Rhinolophus ferrumequinum: one gene and its partner. Each later gene encodes a partner of the first gene's protein in a complex. Links are inferred from orthologs where the notes say so. Each region holds a gene or a part of one and is shown on either strand. Other genes may lie near its edges.

The links.
Region 2: the proteins of SCTR (region 1) and SCT are in contact, whole or in part, in a cryo-EM structure (PDB 6WZG), measured with the Homo sapiens proteins. The link is inferred for Rhinolophus ferrumequinum from reciprocal best matches to the Homo sapiens genes SCTR and SCT. Residues at the interface, in NP_002971.2 of Homo sapiens: Arg30, Leu31, Cys32, Leu35, Asp71, Asn72, Pro117, Val125, Val127, Asn128, Asp129, Asn132, Arg135, His136, Leu139, Leu140, Leu142, Lys143, Tyr146, Tyr150, Arg188, Asn192, Lys195, Leu199, Phe200, Ser202, Asp203, Val205, Met219, Phe222; in NP_068739.1 of Homo sapiens: His28, Ser29, Asp30, Gly31, Thr32, Phe33, Thr34, Ser35, Glu36, Leu37, Ser38, Arg39, Leu40, Arg41, Glu42, Arg45, Leu46, Gln47, Arg48, Leu49, Leu50, Leu53, Val54.

Annotation. Positions count from the first base shown.
Region 1 is NC_046291.1:90,567,616-90,580,076, forward strand, and holds the start of SCTR (secretin receptor), read right to left. Parts: upstream 5,940-12,461; 5' UTR 5,711-5,939; coding exon 5,642-5,710; intron 1-5,641.
Region 2 is NC_046294.1:370,019-380,861, reverse strand, and holds SCT (secretin), read left to right. Parts: upstream 1-6,818; 5' UTR 6,819-6,895; coding exon 6,896-6,975; intron 6,976-7,088; coding exon 7,089-7,190; intron 7,191-7,303; coding exon 7,304-7,408; intron 7,409-7,592; coding exon 7,593-7,713; 3' UTR 7,714-7,799; downstream 7,800-10,843. Other genes in the region: CDHR5 (cadherin-related family member 5), read left to right, coding at 9,300-9,354, 9,446-9,621, 9,968-10,018. UniProt on the Homo sapiens protein: Hormone involved in different processes, such as regulation of the pH of the duodenal content, food intake and water homeostasis.

The DNA of each region.
Region 1 (12,461 bases):
ACAGGATGGAAACCAGGAGACTACAAAAAGAAGCCCAGGGAAGGGAGAGAAGAAAGAAGGGAGTGTCCTGGCATTGAACATCTCCGACAGGCCTGGTCCCATGCCCCACTTTGCCCAGGACGGACAGAGTGTATGCCTGCTGTCTCAATGTCATTATTCATAATGTCTCATCTCTCTCATAAATCACGTGGTCACCCTAGGCAGGACCACGACAGAAGTGTGTGCAGTGAATGTGGCAAAATGAAGGCCACTGCTGAGACTGATTTCAATGGGCAGTGTGGAAGGAGCCAGGTTGCAGTGGGCTGAGAAATGAGCGGACGTGGGGGCGATGATCATGGATGCTTCTTCCAAGAAGCTGGCCATCAGGGGGCAGAGGTAGAACTGGCTAGAAGGGCCCAGAGCTCTTTACCGCCTGGGTTGGACAGACTTAGGCAAGTTGATCAGCTGATGGAAAAAGCCAGTCCAAAGAAATATGGTGAAGGTTGGGCACAGAGGCTGCATTGTGTTATCTCAGAGGTCATTAAGGATGGTGGTGGCTGGAGCAGCTCTGGTATAGAGACTGGCCTCAGGTAGGAGTACAGCCTCTGTTTTACTTGGATGGTATTATGGACTGAATATTTCTGTCTCCCAAAACTTGTATGTTGAATCCCTAACCCCAGAATAGCTGTATTTGGAGAGGGGCCTGTAAGGTGGTAATTTAACTTAAGATTCAATGAGATCATAAGGGTGGGGCCCTGATTTGATAGGATTAGTATCCTTATAAGAAGAGACACCAGAGAACTCCCTCTCTGTCTGCACCTGTTCGGAGGAAAGGCCACATGAGGACCAACCAGCCTCTGCAAGCCAGGAAGAGGGCTCTCACTAGGACCCAACGCTGCTGGCCCTTAATCTTGGACTTCTATTCTCCAGAAATGGGAGAAAATAGATGTTGTTTCAGTCTGCGGTGTTTTGTTATGGCAACCCAAGACAACTGAGCAGACAGGAAGGAAGAGAACAAGAGGGCATCATTTAGACACACCTATAAGATGTTGGTGAGAAGAAATTCATCCATGTAGTGTTGACTCTCAGGAAGTGAGAGGCAAACCCGCGTGGTGAAAATGAAGGGGAGGTGGTAAGGTGAGGAATTTGAAAAGACGTGTGCACGTCAGGGAGAGCCTCTGAGAGTCAGGGGTGAGAAAACGGATGTTGGACATGTAGGGATTCTGGAGAAGACTCTGGAAAACTCAGGAATCCTGGCAGTACGATGGGCTGAGACCAAGGAGACGATCAACCAGGGACGTCTCTTCCCTACATGCCCCTTGGAATCTGTCAGACACAGAATGGTGAGGCTGGGTGGGTCCCAGGACATTCTCACTTGTCCACAAGTACACTGAACAGCCCTCTGTTTGTAATGTAAGCAAGTTGATAGGATCTGGGTGTTGTGGGTTTTACCTTGGGTTGCAGGTTATCCCAGAGCCTGAGTGAAGGTCAGTGGTGAGAAACCTGTTTGCTAAGGGCAAGGAAGCAGGGACCAAATCAGGGGCCACTGGATGGGGCCACTCTAGTGGTGGAGCTCTAACCCTGGATATTAAATCTGGGCTTTCAACAGGAGCACCCGGAAGAGAGCGATGTCTTCCCTTAGCGTGGGAAGTAACGACGGGATGGGGAGAATGGGGACCGGGTGGAGAGAGGGACGCTCAATGAGAACACCAAAAAGGTAACACCAAAGCCAAGAGGAAGGACTCCCTTAAACAGTCTGGGAAGTGTACTTCCTGTTTGTTTGATTCTGTGACTCCAAGCTTATCAATAAACTACAGTGGTTGTTTTATAAACAATCAGATTTGTTTTGTGTTTTACAAAGCAATTAGGTTAAACTGAAAGTAATGTTATTTTGAGATTTGGGAGAGAATTTTATGACAGCCCTTTGGGGACCAGAAACCAGAGTAGGCCTCACGATGGGAAAGATGCATGTGCTGGTTAAGAAGACCTTGGTTAGGATCATCATGCCACCATGTCCTCCTGGGTGATCCGAGCAAATGGCTTCTGTGTCCTCATTTGCACAATGAGGGCTACTGATTGTTGATGTGAGAATTAAATCAGTGCTGGGAAGGGCTTAGCAGACTTTCTGGTGTGAAGGTGCTCAATAAGGGGAAACTTTAAAATCATCATTTCCATTAATTTTAGGGATGGTAAAATTTTCAAGATAAAGCCACAAGTACTTCCTCAGAAAATTAGAAAGTGATTTTTCAGGTATAAAAAAAATCCCAGTGACCCTCCTCTGAAGAATTATCAATAGCCAGCTCCTCACATGACATTTTGCAGGCCTTCCTAAAATTCTGCTCACAGAGCCACCAAAGAGCCTGTCAGCCTCTGAATCCAGATGCACCACCGGAAGGGGCAGGGACCACCATGTGCCGGAGGCTTCAGTGTACCAGACCCCATACTTGGAGTTCTTATGTTTCTGAGCCGTCAACTGGGGAGGGATGGAGAAAGGAGGGGTAAAGTGAGGAGGGAGGGTGAAAAAGATCAAGGAAGTTATTCCCCACAGAAGTCTTTTTATGTGGCTTGAAAATGTTTCATCATGTACACTTGCTTTCATCCTCCGACTCAGATTCCCTGCCACCAACCCCACTGCCCCGCATCCAGCAGGCAATTAACACCTATCATTAGCCCTGTTAATGCATCTCCCCTGAAACATGACAACCTTAAGGCAGTGGTTCTCAACCAGGGGCAGTTTTGCCCTCCTTGCTTCCCAGAGGACATTTGACAGTGTCCGAAGACATTTCTGTTGTCACGACTTAGAGAGATGCTTCTAGTGGGTAGAGGCCAGGGATGCCACTGGATATCATACAATGCACAGGACATACAACAAAGAATTATCCATCTCCACTCTCTGCACTCTGTCCCTATCATCCCCACCCCATTACTTCTTCCCATGCCAAGCGAGGGCATAGCTCTCTTCTTGGCACCGCTTGTTGAAAGCCCAGATGTAATATCCAGGATTATAGTGTCAAAGTTAAGAAGCAGCGATTGAAGGAGAAAGCAGCCCCACACATCCCACTGAACTCACTAAGATTATCAAGTTGGCAGTTTGCCAGATGCCCTGGATTAAAAAGCCCTACCTTGAATGACTAATTTTCCTTTGCTTGACACACTTATGCACAATTTTTGAAGCAATTATTACTTTCAAGATGTCATGCTTCCCTACTTGTTGCTATATGAAATTGCCACAGCTTAAGACGGTCGCTATGGATATCATCATCATTTCACTCATTCATTCATTCATTCATTCATTCAACCACTACATACTCAATGCGTTCCCTCTTATACTGTGACGGGCTCCCGGGATTAAGGATGAAGGCGACTAAGTCTCAATGCCCAAGCTTGAAGTGTGTGTACTGGGGAGGAGGGGAGGACAGGTGTACTGGTGAATAACCGCAATATTCTTCCTGGTAAAAGTGCTTATGCAATACATGGGCATGGGGCAGCAAGGGGAGGTGTGATCAGGGTTTCCTATGGCAATCTGAGAAGACTGCCCCTATCAGCCATCATCACTTTTTAGCTTCCAATTGCAAGGTACCCACTGGCATCTCCTTGTATGGAAAGGCAGTGAGGGTGGGGGGTAGTAACGAAGAATTTGGCCTTAATGACTCCTCATTAGGAAGAAGCCTGTGATCTTCCTCAAGAGAGCCCCAAATGAATAAACAGTTGTTTGAATACCCTTAAATTTCAAAATCAAATGTCTGACCACTCAGTCACACAGAAGGAAAACAGGGTTTCATAGGCTGGGAAATAACACCAATCATATTAGGTCAGTTCCACTCCTATTTATTAAAGGAGTTCTCTGCCAAGAAATGAGACCTCAAGTCTGGTTAAGCCCATAAAATAATCAGAGGACCAAGCCTTATGCACAGAAAACTATCTTGCAACAATACAAGGCAGTACATGAGTATATGAAAGTGACATGCAAAGAAAGAAAACAGGTGTAATTAACAGAGCTCTGGGTCATTGGGAATCAAGAGATCTGGGTTCTAATCCCAGCTCTACCACTAACCTGCACATATGGGGCAGGTCCCGTCTCCCTGTGGTCTCAGTTTGCTCGTCTGTAAAATGAGGGAATCGGACCAGAGCATATAACAAAGCAACCTCCTGAGACACACCGAAGACTTGAACCAAGCAAAGTTTCTTATTTTCCCCTCTGCTCCTTCCTGAGGTAACATGGGGGAGATTAAAATACAGGCTGAGCCTCAGTCCTGAAGTCCACTGCCTGTTAATTTCTCTGGACAACCTCAGGGTTACTACAAATACTTAAGGAGTCTGGAGGGTCTCAAAGAAGGAACTATCCCCTCTCCCATTCCTGGGCACTGAATAACAATACACCTCTAAGCTGTATTTGGTTTTGATTTTTCCCTAATGCCTCGGTGGCTTTTCCCCAAATTAGGAGTTCAGACTAATGAGGGGGTGCTTTTGTTCTAGCACCTTTCTTCACCAGCACTGTGGAGAAGATGCTCCAAGGTTACAAGGGAATTTGGGAACAACAGCCCCAAATTCCACTCTTCCAAACTACTGCTGCTGGAATGTTATGGACTTGCCAGAAAGATGGGCACCTCCTGAGTGCCAACACTCCCATCAGCTCCGGGAGCTGAGGTTTTTCTTAGGATCAAGCAAAAGAGGACTACAGGGGGCAAGGTCACTGGACACCAGGAAGGACTTGTTCAGGACAGAGACTGGAGACTCAAAATTGGGTTCCCAAGAGCTTTCCCTGGGGAATTTTTTGGGACAGACTCAGGGAGCCAGTTTGGAATGTTGGTAGAAAGGAGTAGTTCTGGAATCTACACCTACCCACTCTCCATCCCCCACTCCATCCCCATTCCTTCCATCCAGCCCATCTGGGTGCAGCCACTTCACAAATCCCACAGGGAGAGGCCTGCAGATTCCCAGGAGTTTTTGTGGGAAAGAAAAACAAGCCATGGCCATCGACTCCACCGCCTTCTCTTTTCTCTTCCAGCTTCTCCCTGGAGCTGGTTTGTGGAGACCAGAGGCTCTCAGGAGTTCCTGGGCATGCAGACATTATGGAGCCAAATTCCACAGAAGAGGAGGGGGAGGGAGCTGCAAACGGTCCCATCACACGCCCCGGAAGCTCCGGGCTGAGCTTTCTGAGGTTTTCCCACCTGCAGGCCCTGTGTGTGAATGTCAAGGCGTTGGGGCAGAGGGATGTGGGTTCCAATTGTCTTTTTGGGGGGCAAGATTTTTGGTCTTTCTGAGTCTCGGTTTCCTTGTCTGTAAAGTGAGGGTGATAACATCAACCTTATAAAGAGATTATGAAGTTTCAATGAATTAATGGAGGCAAAGTGCCCAGCACACAGTAGGCACCGCCGAGGACGGCTGGAGAATTTCCGTCTAGGAGGGCCTTACAGTCGCAGCCTGGAGGAAGGGGTGGGATGGAAGCCAGGGGATTCATCTCAGAGCTGCCTTGCCTGGCGCACACGTATTTATTTTGAGGGCAGGAGGCCCTCTGGAGAGAAGCTGATAGAGATTATTGGAGCGGGGGACAGGGGGTAAGGATCCCCACACCTCAGTGGAAGATCTGGGGGTCCCCCGCCACTCCAATCCGTGTGAACCCGGAGGGGTCCCTCTGCCCGCGGAGGGGCGCGGTACTCACGGTGTGCGCCGCGCCGGCGAGCAGCAACAGCAGCAGCCGCAGCGACCGCGGCTGCAGGCAGGGGCGCATGGTGCCCGGCGCGCTCCCGGCGGCAGCCCCGACGGCCGCCCACTCGTGCTCACCGCGGGCTCTGGAGCTCAGCGCCCCCCGCAGGGTCCCAGATGCCGGCCCGCCGCCGCGCCGGGAGGAGCCATAATTGGGCCAGGCGACCCGCGGCTACCCCGGGACTGCGCCTCCTCGGAAAAGGTGGCCGCACGCTATGCCGCCCGGCCCATTGATAAGGACGCGGCGCTGCCTGCGCTCCTCCGCCCAGCCTGACTGACTGGCTGGGGACTGGCGGGCAGGCTGGCAGGGGAGGAGGCGGAGGGAGGGCGCGGGGGCCTGGATCCGGCTCCCGCAGCCTGGGCCCGGGAGCCGAGGAGACCAGGAGAGGGCACGCTGGCTTAGCCTTCGACGCTGCAACACCCCCAAGTCCAGAAAGCGCACTCAGCCCCGTCACAACCTTGCTGCGCGCGGATGGACAGCCCATGTCACCTTTTTGCACCTCAGTGTTCTCATCCCTCACATACATCTAATACCCGCCTTCGGGATGAAAGAAGATTGCGCTAGTAGTGCCCTGTGACAGCGGGTGCTCTATCAATGCCTGTTGCATCTATTCTGCGGGCCAGTTACCTTGCACTTTATTTCGTTTTCACTTTATTTTTCTTCACTATTAAAGTTATGCTGGCTCATTCTGGAAAGTTTCACTTCCATGAGCACCATCACCCGGGAAGCCTTTCACCATCAGGTGGCCCAAGGAGGACCATCTGGTCCACCCGGGGCTGACTCGCCCTTAGGGTTCATGCTTCCTGGCCTCGCTGGAGGCTGTTTAAACATTAGGCAGATATTCCCAGTAGCCTGCTCAAGCTGAGTCTGACTGCTTAGATTTCCTGGAGGATGGCATTTGGCCTTTCGGTACAAGGTACCCTCAAACGGCTTTTGTACACTCACTATTTTCTTCCTCTGCACTGGTGCCCACTCCCTTTCCACTTGCCTCTCCTTCTATCTTGACCTTTCCCCAGGCATTTTAAATACATCAGCTCATTAAACTCCCCCAAAATCTGAAGGTGATATACTGGTTTGACAGAAGAGATCCTTGAGGGTAGAGGAAGATCAATCAGCCATCCAGGCACACGCAACTCAGCGTGTCAGACGGGAGAGCCGGGCTCTGCACTGCACGGCTGGCTCTGAGTCTCTGTGAATGACCTCTGGTCAGATTGCTAAGCGGCTGTTAAAGTAAGATGCTGTAGTCCTCAGCAGCCTTCCTACCTGAAGAGGCGAGGTGAGATTCATAAATCACCGCAGAAATAAAAGGGGGGGAAATGCTTTCTGCTCTCAGGTCAGCAGTCAATATTCAGTACATGTCAATCTGAAGTTTACATAACCACCAACTCACTTTTAGGAACTTTCGCAATAGAAATACTTACCCAACGACCCGATGAAAGATGCGCAAGGATGTCTGTGGAAGCACCTTCGTTGCAGCAGAAAACGGGAGATAATGTAATGGAAGGGGAACACTTAGCCCCACGCTTGATGTTACCTTTTTGTGTAAAGTAACCATGAGTATACTACTTCTGGCTTCTCTCTACCCACCTCAGCCATGTCCCTCCCCGCAACACACACGTGTGCTGAGCTCTACATGATTAATGTATTTGGGATAAGGACGGGCATGAGATTCTGCCCCCCAACTCTCCCCCTCCTTTCCCAGCACCCCCACCTGCAGAGAGCCTGAGACTGAGTTGCCCTGGGCCAGGCTGTCGTTGGTGGTCAAGGCTCTGCCTGTATTGACCCAGTATCACCAGTGACAGGGTGGTGGCCTATCTAATTCTGAGGTTCACTATTAGAAAACTCACTTTCCCACAAGTATAAACCACATTCTCCACGACCAATATTATCACTAATAAAAGGGACATTGGGGCGGCCGGTTGGCTCAGTTGGTGAGAGCGCAGTGCTCATAACACCAAGGTTGCCGGTTCGATTCCCACATGGACCACTGAGCTGTGCCCAACACAACTAGATTGAAATCAACGACTTGACTTGGAGCTGATGGATACTGGAAAAACATACTGTTCCCCAGTATTCCCCAATAAAATTTTTTTTAAAAAAGTGACATTTTTTAAATGTCTGTTTTAATCTTATTTCTCAATTGGTTCAAGATTTAGACTGGAAAGAAAAATGTTACTTGCTGGTCCCCAATTAAACTCCAACCCCCTAAATGTGCATCAGAAAGTCTTTGAGTTAAGGACTTGCAATTTTTACTGTATAGATTTCCTGTTGCTTGAATATTTTCTGTAACTACTGTATATTATTTTTTTGATGGAAAGAAATAAAAAGAAAACAATATAAAAATGCAATCTCTGTTCTCTACCAGAACCTCATGATATCCACTGAAAAAGCAAAACAACATTTGTTCTGGGCAATTCAATAAATTTCTGGCCTGTGGCAAACCATTCGTTCTTCCTCAAATGGGAGGCATTTGAGAAAAGGGGCTGAAGTACTCTGTGAGAAGCCCTTTTACAAGCCATGTGTGCTGTTAGTGGCTTTGTAAACCCCACTTGAGAAAACAATTTTATAACAGAGGTGGGAGGAAAAGATAGGGACCAAACAACATTATATAATACCTGCCATGTGTGAAGGAGTCTTGTAGGAATTTGCAGTGTGTTGTTAGATCCTCCAAGACTACATGAGAGAGAATTACTTTCCTTGACTAATAGGTTGGGAGCTTGAGGCTTGGAGAAGATAAGAACTGCCCTCCAACAACACAGCCAAGAAGGGGCAGGGGCAGAATTTGAAATCAGGACTGAACCCAATGCCCATGCCCTCTGCACTGTACTAGGATTCCTCTCATCCGTGAAGATGACTTCCTAAACCTGGGGCTTCCGCACTTCTTTGGCACACATCATCTCATCTGATCCGCAAAACCCGCCTATGGGGTCGGTAGGACCAGCAGTCAGGGGCTGGCAGGAGAGGGAGGAACTGTTGCCCGTGTGATTTAATTGAAGACAGATTAACGAAAGGACTGTGTGCAGAAGTGTGGGCAGGGTTAAGGGAACCAACAAGGGATGGTGAGGCAGTAGGGATTAGCAACAATGGGCCGGAAGGCTGACAGAGTCTCCCCTGAGCAAACTTCAGTCAGTCTCCTCGGAGTTCTCTTCTTGATTAGGCCTCCACTGTGACCCTGACTGTCTTTGGGCTGCCTCTCCCAGTCCCGGCAAGGATTCTGCCATCAGTTTTGGGAGAATGCCTCCACTCCTGATCTTATCACCCTTGATATCTGATCAAGTTCCTCATCCCTCCCCAAATCCTGTTGGTTTTCCAAATCCTCCATCTCTCCTCTTTGCAATCTTCCATCCACTCACCCTTCACCCTGCTCCTTGGCTATAAATCCCCACTTGTCCCTGTCATATTCCAAGTGGAGTCTGATCTCTTTCTCCCCTATTGCAACAGTCTTGAATAAAGTCTTCCTCATCGTTTTTTAACAAGTGTCAGAGTAATTTTGTCTTTAACAAGGGGTAAGGACAGAAAACAATGATCCCAGAAGCTGGCAAGAGCTATCCTTGAAAGAGAAGCCACTCGTAGGAACTTAACCATAGAGGAATGCAGCCACTGTCAAAACTGTGATAAATACTCTGCCCTCTCTCGTCTCCTGTCCACTGATCTCCTGGCAACGTCTTCCATTGGCTGAACTCAACCCAAAGCCAGAGACAGGCAGACAAATGAGGGCTGCGGGGAGGAAATGTCCATAGAGTTTAATCTCCTGGGTGGAGAAGGTAGAAAATTAATTTGTGAAGAATGAGGCAAAAGAAGAATAATCCCACGTGGAAATATCTTTAAAGCCATTTAACAGGTGTAGAAACTGACTTGATGAGGCTTTAAATCAAGGTCATACAGCTAGGCGGTAGGATTGCTGGTACTGAAACTCAGGTGAGCTGTTTCCATCACTCTTATACCCATTACCCCCAAATCTAGCAATGGAAAACCAGCAATTATTTATTGTCATTTCACAGTTTTGGGGATTGACTGGGCTCAGCCAGGCAGTTCTCACTTGGGGTCTTTCACATGGCTGCAGTCAGACGGCAGCTGAGACCAGAGTTACCTCAAGATGTGCTCACTCAACTGTCTGGGGCTGAAGCATCTGAGAGGTTCCTCAGCTGTCTCTTTCTCTTTGTGAGAAAGGATTTCCAACACACACCCTCCACCTTCCAACATCCACCGTCCTTCTAGTGAACGTAGAACGGTAGAAGGAAAAGGATTTTTCTTCCCCTGCAAATCCCCTCAAAAATTAAATTTAAACATTTCCCTGTGCCAAAAAGGAAAGAGATCTTTTTTCTTCTTCCTTTTCTTTTTGCATTTTCTTTAAAAAACTTCTCATTGTAAATCTTTTCCCTTTCTCTTTGAGATGCAGGTAAATCTTTTAAAAAGCTAATTAAGGCTCTTGCCATTTTGCATCCCAGGAATGAAGACCTTGGAGTCATCTCTTTGAAATGTGAACATCAAGGAAAATGGTGCTCTGCCTCCCGGTCACTATGGGAGTTTAGCCCAGGTGCCTGGCTCCACGTTGTAATTTCCCACTTGTGGAAAAGATACGAGAAGTTCTATTTTTCCTTTGAATAAAGGCAATTAGCATGTGTGTATGATGGATTGTATCTGCCTGGCTATGTAAAAGGCTACGATTTCTATTTGTCTTTGCAACCTCTCTTGTGGTTTGCTGGTGACGGGCATCATCGTCTCCTTTAATGCTTATTCAATAATAACACTGATTCATTCGTTCCTTCATTTTGTGGAGAGGATTCATCTGGTTGGCAGTACATTTTATTTTTAATTACTTTTCCGCCAAGAAATCGTGTCATTTTTTTTTTTTTTTTGCATTTTTCCAAAAGCAATAAACACTTGGAAAACTAATTAAGCACATTCATTCAATGAATATTTATGGAGGACCTACCTAATCCAGGTGCTGTGAACCAGAATGATAGGGGCCTGGGGAAATTGCCCTCGGTAACCTCAGCCCCATTCTTGAAACCCAAGGGGCTAGATTGCACCCCTTCCCAGGAGGCCCAGAAAGATGACTGAGGCTGATAGACAAGACTTCAGAGGCTTTCACAACAACATATTTAACAAATCTATTGGTTGGCTGGAGTAAGCAACTTCAGAACGTATGGTGGATGACATTGCAACCTGATAAATGCTATGGGAGCATATACCAAGGGGCCAGACCAAACCTGGTGGGTATTAGGTTGAGTCATATTAGTCACCATTTTTCTAGGTAACATACATTTGAATATTGACATTTTTTTAAGGTTCAACCTAATAAACGTTTGTTGGTTGTGTCAGGCCAGACTTTATTCCCTCTTCTTCTGATACAAGTACCCCTTGCCTTTCCCCAATCTCAGACCACATGGCTTGGGTGGGGCTTTCACCAACAGCAGCCCAGGAGTGAGCACATGACACAGACCTGGGTGAGGAGAGTCATCCCTACCAATAATCACCATGATTGGTTCAGGGATGGGCACATGACTCAAGCTGGGCCAATAGGAATGGCACCAACGAAACAATGTGTTGGCACTATGCGCAAGTTAGGTGCAACATGGCAGCCTTTCCATAGCACTGAGAAATCCTGTCTGAGAATGAAGCCAACATGGAGTGAAGAGAACCAAGAAACAGAGATAAAATCTTTTTTTTTAATTAAAATTTATTGGGGTGACAATGGTTAGTAAAATTACATAGGGTTCAAGTGTACAATTCTGTATTACATCACCTATCTATCACATTGTGTGTTCACCACCCAGAGTCAGTGCTCCTTCCATCACCATATAGTTGAGCCCCTTTATCCTCATCTAGCACCCCTCCTCCCCCCTTACCCTCTGGTAACCACTAAACTATTGTCTGAGCAGAGACAAAATCTTGACACCATCATCTGTCACCTAGATGTAGCTGTGACTGAAGCCTCTCACCATAGATGATAGATAGACATACAGACGATAAGTTTTAAACTTTTTTTTCACTTTTGAATCCATTTCTGCCCCTGTAACAGAAAGAGCACTGACATACACGTAAGGAAGGCTTCCCAGGAAAGTAATATTTGAGCTGAAGGGGTTGGTTTGGAGAGGGAGGAGAGGAGAGCATTGGGGAGGAGAGGAGTTGGCTATCACTGGGTGTCTGGGTCTCAGGCCTTCACCAAATGACTCCACCAATGAAATGAACTTGCTCTGCCCCTTCAGCTGCTCAATAAACCAAACAAAAGGCTCTGTCCTTTCCTGAATGTGAGCTTTTCTGGGAACCAAGCTAATGTATTATTGATGAGCCATAAATAATGGGGCAAGCATGATTTCCTATTCAGTACTGAAGTACAAAGGTATAACACTGACATTTAAATGAAGTTTTTATGGTCCAGGTTCACTGTTTACACTCTGGAAACGTGGGCTGGCTTTCTCTAAAGCAGTTTTTCCTTTACTTTTCTTATTTCCTTCCTCCGTTTGTCATCATCCTTTGAATATTTCTATTAAATATTATGGTTAACACAGATCAAACAAAAGAGAGTAAAGAAAATCATATCTGAAAGACAATGTCGCTGGTGCTTCCAAGGACTTATTGTCACTGGATGGAACAAAGAAAGGTCGGGTGCACCCCAACCTCCCAGGGGCTCCCCACGTTTGTGCCTAAGGCAATTTGGGTTGGCATACAGAAAAGAATGGTCTCAACAGACAAACCTGGGTTCAAATCCTGACATAAGCATCGATTAGTCGTGTGACCTATGGCAAGTTACGTTAGCCCTCTAAGCCTC
Region 2 (10,843 bases), on another chromosome or scaffold:
AGACGGGCGGATGGACAAATGCAACAGCTCAATGAGATGCGAATTAAGCGACGTGATTCGCACGGGCGGGCCCACCGCAGGGCTGGGGGCATGCGCGGGTCTGCGCCAGGGGAAGCCCACGAGATGAAAGGTCGGCGGGACCATACTCCGAGGCTTGCGCGCACCCACGCCAGCGCCGTCCCGTGCGGCCGCGGAGACCCCCGGGTCCCTACTTGCGCCCAAGTTGGGCTCCCTTCCCCAGGGACGCTTCTGGAGGCGCCTCAAGGCGGAGCCGGATCGGGTTCTCACTCCATTCCGTTCAAGCGGCGTCGGGAGAACATTCTTCTCTGGCTGGTTCCCCCAGGCGCGGGAAGACTGGAGCAGCCCCGGCTCCAACCGCAAGACCCTGGCGCTCAGGCGCCTCCCCCTGGCGATCCGCGGTGCGTGAGGCACAAGGTCCACACTCACCCTCCCTCGGACACCCCTCCGACCCAACCCTCTCTTCTACCCTGGCTCGTCTCCCCACAATGATTGCAGACCCGGACCCAGGGCCCTGCATCCCATTCCAGGAAGCTGACTCTCGTCTGGTTCGCGGGACCACCTTCAATCACCCACCATCACTGCCTCACCCTCCACCCTCCAGGCTGACAACGGAGTGGCCAACCCCACTCCATCACCTCGGAGCCTGTGACCCTGAGCAAGTGTGTGCCCCTCAGCCTGGGGTTACAGGCCTAGGAAATGGTGCCTACATCACAGCCACAGGTGAACTATCGCCAGCAAAGGCACGGGAGAAGACTCAGGGAGTTCGGCAGTGCCGTGGTCACCTGTTTCTTCACAGAGGAAAGAAAAGCCCCCAGTGAGAAACCTCTCACCCTGCACCCATCACAGCTACAAACTCACCTGCCCATCACCCCCCTCTGCCAATACAGGACTGTGGGAGCCTGGGAGGCTGGAGGGAGGGTCACAGGTCCACGCAGACAAGACTGTGTGGGAGCAGACCCATGGCTGTGCTGAGAGCCCAGCCCCGACTGTCCTCTGTCCGATCATAGACGTGCACAGAAAGAGCATCCAGGGAAAATGTGTTACAGCGAGAAGTCTCTATGGACTTCCTGAAATTGCCGTGACAGGCGGCCTGGAGCCCCATCATTAAAGGGGCCCTGAGTGTCGGTCCAGCTGAATGGCTCTGTGGGACCCTCTGGTTCGCGCACCTGAATAATGCTGGCTTCCTCAAACGAGATGGGAAGTGCTCCCTTCTCTCCTATTTTCCTTAGTAGATTTCATGAAATTGATATTAACTTTTCCTTAAATGTTGGAATAATTGGCCAGTGAAGCCATCTGGGCCTGGAGTTTGTTAGGTGGGTTTTGACGGTGATGTCACTTTTTTTTTTTTTAACACATCTATCTCTTTAACAGACTGTGTCTTCTGAGCGAATGTGGTAGTCTGTCTGCCAAAAATTTGGTCTATTTCATGTTAGTTTTCCAATTTATGGGCCTAGCGTTATTTATAAAGTTCCCTTATTATCTTTTTTATACCTACTGTAAGGTCGCTGATGACAACACCCCTTTCATCCCTTATATTATAAAAGAAACATTGTATGTTTCTTTTTTTCTTGGTCAGTCTTGCTAGAGGTTTATTAACTTGACTGATCTTTTCAAAGAAACAGCTTTTGTTTTCATGGATTTTTTCTATATTTTTTGTGTTTGTTTTCAGTTTCATCAATTTCTACTCTTTATTATTTCCTTCCTTCTGCTTGCTTTGTAATTAATTTGCCCTTTTTCTAATTTCTTAAGGCCACTCATTTGGGATAGTTCTTCTTTTCTAACATAATAAGCATTTAATGCTACCAATTTCCCTCTAAGACACATCCCACGCGTTTTTGTGTTTACAATTATGTTCCGGTTAAAATAATTCCTACTTTCCTTAGACTTCTGCTGTGACTCATGGATTACTTAAAACTATGTTATTTACTTTCCAAATGTTTGGAGATTTTCCTGTTATCTTTCTATTATTTATTTCTAGTTTGATCCTGTTATGGTGAGGAAAAAATGCTTTGTAGGACCTCAGTTCTTTTACATTCATTAAGGTTTATTTTATAACGCAGAATATAGTCTATTTTGATAAATGTTCCAGGCACACTCAAAAAGAATGTGTATTCTGCTGTTATTGCGTGGAAAGTTCTTTAAATATCAATTAGATCAGGGAGGTGCTGCTCAGATCAGATCTGTGTTCTTGCTAATTTTCTGTCTGTCTTGTTAGTTACAAAGAAAGGCATATTGAAATCTCCAAGTATAACTATAGGTTTTTCTACTTCTCCATCCAGTTCTATTTCTCCGTATCAGTTTTTGCCTCATGTATTTTTGATGATTTGTTGTAGGGTGCCTATACACTTAGAATTGAGGCCACAGGGGCTCGGAGTCAAGGGCTGAACACCAAGGGGCTTGAGGGAATTTGGGGGTGAGGGAACTGGCAGTTACAAAGACGAATACATTTTTCCAAGCTCATAGAGCTGCACATCAAAAAGAGAACTATAAATAATAAATTAAACTTCACAAAAGGGGCAAAGTTAGAATGTGTGTGATCCCAGGTTGCAAACAACAATTACAGCTCAGAAAGGATGGTGAAGCCGAGGCAGCTCCTCCTGGGAGAAGGATGTCCTAATCCTCCCAGAACCTCTGGTCAGTGAAAGGTGGGCTGTGTGACGGCTAAGGCTGTGCAGGGCCTGAGTGGCCACTCTGTCCCCCAGGGCCAGTGAGTATGTCTGTAACCCTCCAGAACAGACAGAAATCAGAGTTATGAGACCACCGTCACCCTGGTGGTGATGTTTGGGCAGGTGTCAGAGCTGGTTCTATCAACATTTCCGGCAGAGTTTTATGGGATGCTTGAAACATTTAAGAGAATGTCGTTTCATTTGGTGCACAAGACTTGTTCAAAGTTTAAGAATCTGTTCTTAATCAACAGAACAAGTAGATGGAGCATGAGCAAGGGTAGAGAAGAGTCTGAACAAACCATCAATAAGCAGGTGTGTTTGGCATTTATAGAGCACTCCATCCAACAGCCGAGGAATGCAGAGCTCCTCCAATAGATGTGAACCATTCACCAGGAGAGAGAGCATTCTGCCCCAGAAAAGGGAATGCAACACATTTGTAAAGAATGGAAATCATACAAACTAAGTTCTCTTGCCATAAAGATATAAAACTGGAGACCAAAAAAATAACAGGAAAATGTCCAAAAATTTGGAAAGTAAAAAACACAATTCTAAATAATCCATGGGTCAAAGGTGAAATCTCAAGAGAAATTAGAAAATATTTTGAGGAAAATGAGAACACATCATGTCTAAAGTTGTGGGATGGAGCTAAAGCAGAGCTCAGAGGAGAATTCATACCATTAAATTCGAAAATGAGAAATGTCTCAAGTCAACACAGGATACCAGTCAAGCACCTAAAGATGAAGAACTGCAGGGTCATACTGACTGGTGCAGAAGAACATCTGACGAAATTCAACACTGTGTATGATAAAAGTGTTCAAGCAAGAGATAGTCAGGAGGCTTCTAGACCTGATAAAGGGCATCTGCAAAACACCTACAGCAAACCTCCCAATTAATAATGAGAGACTGTGTGTGATCCACCTAAAATCAACACAAGACAAGTATGTCCACTCCCAACACGTTTATTGGGCATGGGACTACTGTTCTAGCCTGTGCAATCAGGCTAGGAAATCAGGTAAGGAAAAACATAAATAACAGACGTCCATATTGCATCGGAAGGAGTGAAACTGGCCTTATTCACAGAGGACACGGCTGTCTACGTAAAACCCCAAGGCAGCTACAGAAAGCTCGTAGGACCTGTAAGTCAGTTTAGTGAGGTTTCAGGGTACAGGTCAGCCCCCAGAGATCAGTCGGGTTCTATGTGCCAGCAACGAGCAGTGGGAAGCCCTCCTTCCACACCCCAGTGGAGAACTTAGAGTTGGTTCGAGTAACCTCAATTTGACATTTAAATCTTGGTGAACCCCCCCCCCAAAAAAAAATTGGACTAGAGAATATTTTCTGTGCTTTGCTTATTCAGAGAATTAAACTAATGAAACTATCAACTATCAAGATGAACTAAATTCTTAGCTGTGCATAAAATGTGTTCCTTCCTACATTCTATTCTGGAAATATGAAGCTTCTTATTCTTTCTTAGAATCCTGGACCCTGAAATTGGCTGTTATTAGTCCCCCTCCCCCACCCCCCCCACACATACACAGAATGATGCCCAATTTGAGGCTCTGAATAGCCATTCACGTAAGTTAGGACCCAGCTCAGGTTGACGTCTTGGGAACCCGTGGGGCCCTTGGTTAAGTCTGTGGGTTGAAAGTGGCATTCTGTCATTGTAGCTTGTGTCATATGTTGTCTCTAAGCAATGTCCCAACTGGGAAGGCAAGGTTTGGGCGCACTGCACTCCTTAGCTCACCTCTCTCCTGGTGCCAGTCGTCCATCAGGGTGCGGAGCAAATGGCTGTCTCGGTGGTGGCGCGTCACAACCCACCCTGGAAAACCCTTGGCACACCACCCCATCTGCCCAACACTTCAGCACGGCCACCATCTTAATAAGGAAGCCTCAGTGTGGCTCTGTGATGACGCAGGAGGAATCTGAGCAGCGGGGACAGTGGTGACAGCGCTTTCGGATGAGAGGAAGGCAGTTACAGAACCCTCTGTGACAGGAACACTAGGACACAGCCCATCTCTGCTTGGCTGCAGCCCTGCCTGGCTTCTTCCACTCAGAACTTGCCTCACTCTTGGTCTCTCCCTCTTGCTGGTGACTGCTTGTGACCACATGCAGTGTGACCCATCGCTCTGGCTGTGATGTGACCACAGAGGGGCAGCATGAGGGAGTTGTTTGCGGTGATGGAGTTGTCCTGTATCCCGATTATGGTGCTGTTTACACGGATCTGTACATCTGTCAAAATTCATTATTTTACTATATATTAACTTTACTGTATGTTAATTTTTAAAGCCCATTTTATTGCGTGTTAATCTTTTTTAAATGGGAAGATTTTTCTTACGAAGATCTGCCTGGTTACTTAAGTGTTTGAGGTGCTAAGAAATTCAACCAATTAAATTAGTATTTGGAGCTTGGAACATTCTCATGAATGCAATTCATCAGTCAATGGTATTAAAGTTTAGAACATTTCAATTTGCCAAGTTTGTGCAAGAACAAGTCACACCATCTGTTTAAAAACACATGCAAAGAATCATCAGCGAGGGAGCACAGCACACCTACCAGACGGACCACAACCCAGAGCCCCAGTGACACTGAGTGCTGGCTGGGAGGACGTGGGGCCACAGGAATTCCCACCACGGCTGGTGGGGGGTGTGTGTGCAGATGGTGCAGCCACTTTGGAGGACAGGGTGGCAGTTTCTTACAAAACCAAACACACTCTTATCATGTGATCCAGCAATCGTGTTTCTTCGTATTTACCCAAATAAGTTGAAAGTCACGTCCCCACTAAAACCTGCACACAGAGGTTTGTAACAGCCTTACTCAAATTGCCAAATCTGGAAGCAACCAGGACGTCCTTCAGTAGGTGATGGATGAATAAACTGTGGGACATCCAGACAATGGAATCGAATTCAGTGTTAAAGAGAAATGAGCTCTGAAGCCAGAGAGGACATGGAGGAAACTAAGTGAAAGAAGCCAGCCTGAAAAAGCCACATGCTGTGTGATTCCTGAGGTAGGACATTCTGGAAAAGGCAGAACTATGGAGACCGTAAAGATCAGTGGTCGTCACAGGTTGGGGAGGAAGGAGAGATGAACAGACGGAGCACAGAGGTTCTTAGGGCGGTGGGACTAATCTGTGTGAGATTGATTGTGGGTACATGTCACTGTACATCCTGTCCAAACCCCCAGAATGTACACCACCAACAGTGAGTCCTGATGTCAATTATGGACTTAGGTAATAACAATGTATCAATACCGGGTCATCAACTGTAACAACTGTAACAAATGCAGAACACCAATGCAAGATGCTGGGACGAGGGGAGGCTGGGTGTGTTTGTGCTGGGGGAACTATTGCAGCTCAATTTTTCTGTAAACCTAAAACTGCTCTAAAAAAGTCTACTAATTATATTTAAAATGCACGTAAAGTTTAACACAAGAACTAGTTTATAACTTCATTGACTAGATTTGTGATTTCTATTTAAGGATTTAATGCACACAGGAGTTTAAGAAGCCTAGCTTTACTTAATCCCTTATTGATTACGCAGCAGGAACCCAGCTGCCTCCCCTTTCCTCCCCTTTCCGCGTCTCCACCTCCTACCGCCCCTGAAACAGGCTCAGGTCTCCCCCGTCTCGAAAAACAAATGGCGAGGCCCCCAGGCTCGGATCTGCGCCCTGCCTGCAGCTCCCCTCCGCGCCGCCCCCCCACGGGGAGTGGCAGTGAGGTCACCGGTCCGCGCTCGGCCTTCCCTGACGCCGCCCCCTGCCCAGCCGCGCGCACCGTGTGCCGGGGCCTCTCCAGAGGAGCCCGCGGCCTCGGGTCGCCTCGCGCTCTGTCCCAGCCTTGACCCTCCTGAGCTCATCTCCGAGGCCCCCGGCCCCAGGCTCTGCACAGACGTTCCCGCCGCGCATCCGCGCCACCGCCCCGCCCGGACGTCCCTCCTCCCGCCCCGGCCCCCGCGTGCCCGCAAGTCCACGTCCGGCTGAGCCCCGCCAGCCCGCCGAGGGGCGCCGACGCGGCGCTGGGGGCGGGCGACCAGCCGGGTTGACAGCTGGGGGGGCGGCCCTGACCTTCCCGCGGATCGATGGGGGAGCGGCCCGGGCTGCGTGGAGCCAGGGCGGTGCTGACGCCCCCGCCCCCCGCCCCCCGCCGGGCGCCGCTATAAAGGGTGGCGCGCAGCTCTGGCCGCGGCCGCAGCGCTTAACACCCCGGCGCGCCCACCATGGCCCCCCGGGCCCTGCTACTGCTGCTGCTGCTGTCTCCGCTGCTCCAAGGCTCTGCCGGGCGCCCCGCGCCCCCCAGGTGAGCCCAAGGTCCCGGGGCCCACACAGCCCCTTGGGCCCGCCTACCGGCCCTGCGTCCGCCCCACCCTTGCTTGGCCCTGATCCGCTGCGGCGCCGTCACCCCCTCCTCAGGGCCCCGCGACACTCGGACGGGACGTTCACGAGCGAGCTCAGCCGTCTGCGGGAGAGCGCGCGGCTGCAGCGCCTGCTCCAGGGACTGGTCGGGAAGCGCAGGTGAGGTCGGGCCTGGGGCCCCCCTGAGGGGCAGGCCCCGCATGGGGCTGTCCCTCACGCAGCAGTCTCCACCCCCAATTCCACGACTAATTCTGATTTGGGGCGGGGGGCAGCGAGCAGGACGCGGAGAACAGCACATCCTGGACTGGGTCTGCCACCGAGCCTGCCGAGGTCCCCCTCTGCCTGCTGTGGTCCCATTCTCCTGCCCTGCAGGCCTGGTGAGCCCGCCCCCCTCACCAGAGCTCCGCCCCGACCGTCCCTCTGGTCCCCTGGGGCACCCCGTGTCAGCAGTGGGCCAGGGGTGGGGAGAGTTAGCGCTGGTGACCCAAGGAGGCCGGTTCACCAGGTGGGCAGGGGTCTCCACCTTCAGGCCCACAGCCCCTAACCCAGCTGTCTCTGCAGGATGATGGCCCTGAGGGACCCCCTGAATCAGGCCTGGTCTCCCCGGCTGTCTCTTGGACTCAAGTCTGGGGTCATGGTTTCAGAGCCGGCCATCCCTGCTGAGACCCAGATGACGTCCTGAGGAAGAAGGAACCTCCCCTCTTCTGACGGGGGCGCGAACCTGGATGGGGCAGGGTTGGTGGGAAGGAGGGGGTTGCACTTGGCACCAATAAAGAAGGAATTCAGACCCTGGCCTGGCGAGCGCGCTGTGTGCACCGTCTCTGCCTGCGCTGGGAGACAGCCTGCTGGGCAGAGCTCACAGGGGAGGAGGTCCTGCCCGGGAGCCCAGCAGGGGCCACGCCCAGCTGCCCTTTAAACCAGAGAAGACAGTGGGCGCCTCACCTTCCCCTTTCCTTATCTCTGGCATCAGGGCCACTTCCTGTCCCATCGACTGCACTCCCCAGGGCCCCGCCCGCACCCCTTGTCATCCACTCAGCAAACATTCAGGGACTCTGAGGGGCGGCTCAGGACGTTCCCCAGTTCCTGCCCCAGCTGCCATGTGCTAGGTGTGTGGAGCAGGTGGGGGGAATTTTAAGGGGGGTGACGAGGCTCAGGCTGGGCAGGAAGAGGTGACAGGCAGTGGGGCTGTGTGTGTAGGGGGTTACCAGGAGGCTATGAGTCCACTCTGGAAGCCAGGCGTCTGGGCTCTCTGTCCAGGGTTGTGGTCTTGGACAAGCGGCTCAACCATGCTGAGCCTGTGGAGCAGGGACAGTAATGACACCCCAAGAAGTGCTGGGGGTGCAGGAGGCCGGTTAGGCACATGGCAGGCAGAATTGCTGTCACCAGCAGAGAGAACAGGGAGAAGAAGCAGGTGCAAGGATCTGAAGGGGAGAAGGGCCGCCCCACTGTCACCCAGCCCCTTCCCTCCCTCCTGGACTTACCGAGTGGCCTCTCCCTAGCCGCTGGGAGCCTCTCCAGAATCAGCCTGCTGTCGGGCACCAGAGCTCCCGGGGACCCGAGGTGCCCCTGAAGCGCTGCCATTTCCATCACTGTGCCCCTGCGCAGCCCCACCAGGAGGGAGCTGGCTGATTTCCAGGACAGGCAGGTGTGTCCCCAGAATACAGCCTTTTCCTTCCAGATTTAGATGGTCAGTGTGGGAGAGGAGACGGGACTGGAGGGGAACCTGAGGTCCGAACCACGGGGCTGCCTAGGACTTTGCCCCAACAGCATTCTGGCGGAAGAACCCAGCAGAGGCATCTGGGGTGGGGACAGCATAGCAGACAGAAGCCAAAGGCCAGCCCCTTCCCTGTCCTCAATCCCCCAATCCTAGATTCCCTGAGTCCCTAGCCCCCTGCCCCCAGCTCTTGCTCAGCCCCTCTCTTCGGCCCCCCGCGGGCACCCCCACACCCCCCACCCCACCCAGGCCCATGTGTCCTGAGCATTCTGTGAGCTCCTTTCCACCTCATGTCTTCGTGACTGTGGGTTGAGCCCCCGTTGGCACCTGCATGTGGCCCGGCTCCTGCCAGGTAACCACAAGGCCTCCCCCTCCTAGGCCTGGCATGGGCTCGGCCCGCGGGAGCCCCCCAGGTGGAGGCCAATCGTAAAGGATCATAAAGTGGGCGGTGCCGGGCAGGGGTAAAGGTCGTCCCGGCAGAGACTGCCACCAGCACAGGCTACTCAGAGGGTCCCGGTCGCCAGCCGGGCTTAGACTCTCCCGCTGGCCCCAAGATGGGGTCTTGGGTCCTGCTGCTGCCGCTGCTCACAGCCGTAGCCCAGGCCCAGGGTACATGCGGGCTTGGCCGGGGCGCGCGGAGGGAGAGGGGGGCGGGCGGCAGGCAGGGGTTGAAAGGCACTGACCCTTCTCTACTTTCCAGTTTGCTCTGTGGACAATACCTTCTTTGAAGTCCAGGAGAATACGGAGCCTAGTGGGCCCTTGGTGGACATCAATGTCCCTGAGGGCCAGCGCGTGACCCTCGGACCCTCATCCACCCCCTTCGCATTTCGGATCGAGGGCACCCAGCTCTTTCTCAATGTGACTCCTGACTATGAGGTACAAACGGCAGACCAGGGAGGGGTGGGCCGGTGGGGTGCCTGGGGCCGCCAACCCCTGTGGGACCCATGCAGAGAAGGGTTTTTGGGAGTCCTGAAGGCTCTCTGTCCCCCAGGTAGTGACCAACCCCTGTTGGGCCCCAAGGCTTGGTTGAAAGCAAACGCGAGGGGCCAGGGCCCTTGGAGGACAAAGCTGCCTGGGTCCCCAGTGCGCTCTGGACTTAGCAAAGATGACGGGGACCTTGGGCGAGTATCTGCCCCTCTGGCGCTGTGCCCTCCCCTGAGGGATGAGAACAGTGTGCTGTGACCAGCTGCACAGGTGCGCTGACACCTCTCCGCCCCCACAGGAGAACACAATACTGCAGGCACACCTGGAATGCAGAAGGGGTGACACCGTGGTGAGTCAAGCCCAGCTCTCTACTTCCTGGGCGGCCCCCACGTCCCCTCCCTCACCCTGTGACGTCAGAGTGCTTGGACCTCTGTGCTCTGCCTGTCCAGGGTTCCTCCCCAGTGACCTCACCCAGTGGTGTGTTTTCAAGTGTCACTCCTGTGCTGGTGATGCCCACACTTCCTCCAGCCCAGACCGCCCTGAGCTGCAGACTCGCAAACCCAGCCACCCTGATAGGACATCACACCCCCAACCCGAGACCCCATCTGGGGAGGCGCCTCACCCTCCAGCTCAGTCCTGTCCTCTGCCTGCCCCACGTCCTCGTATCAGCATATCTGCTGGCTGGGCCTCAAGCTGGGCCTCCTGCCTCCTGACTCAGGCGCTGGCTACCAGCATCTCCTTTATGGAACCTTCCAACTGGTCCACTCGCTGCCCTCTCGGCCCCACCCACCCCAGTCCACTGTCCGTGTGGCAAGAGGAGCCAGCCCGTGGAGCCCTGCCCAGAACTCGCGAGATGTTGTGCCTCGTCTGTCACTCAGTTGTCACCCCCTGACCTTATTCTAAGTCGCAATGCTACCCCCTCACCCCACACACCTTAGCCCCTGACCTTGACTCACCTTTTATGATGGGAAGTTTCAAAGGCACAAACAAGGGACAGTGTCCCAAGCCCCGTGCACCTGCCAGCTCTGCAGGGAGCCACTGAGCCCTGTGGGTGCCCCGCCTACAAACATCTCAAAGTCACTAAGATAAGGACCCTTCTTACACATCACACGCCACTGGTTCACACCTGAGAAAAGCAGGGACTCGGCATCACAGGACACCCTGGAGATATCTG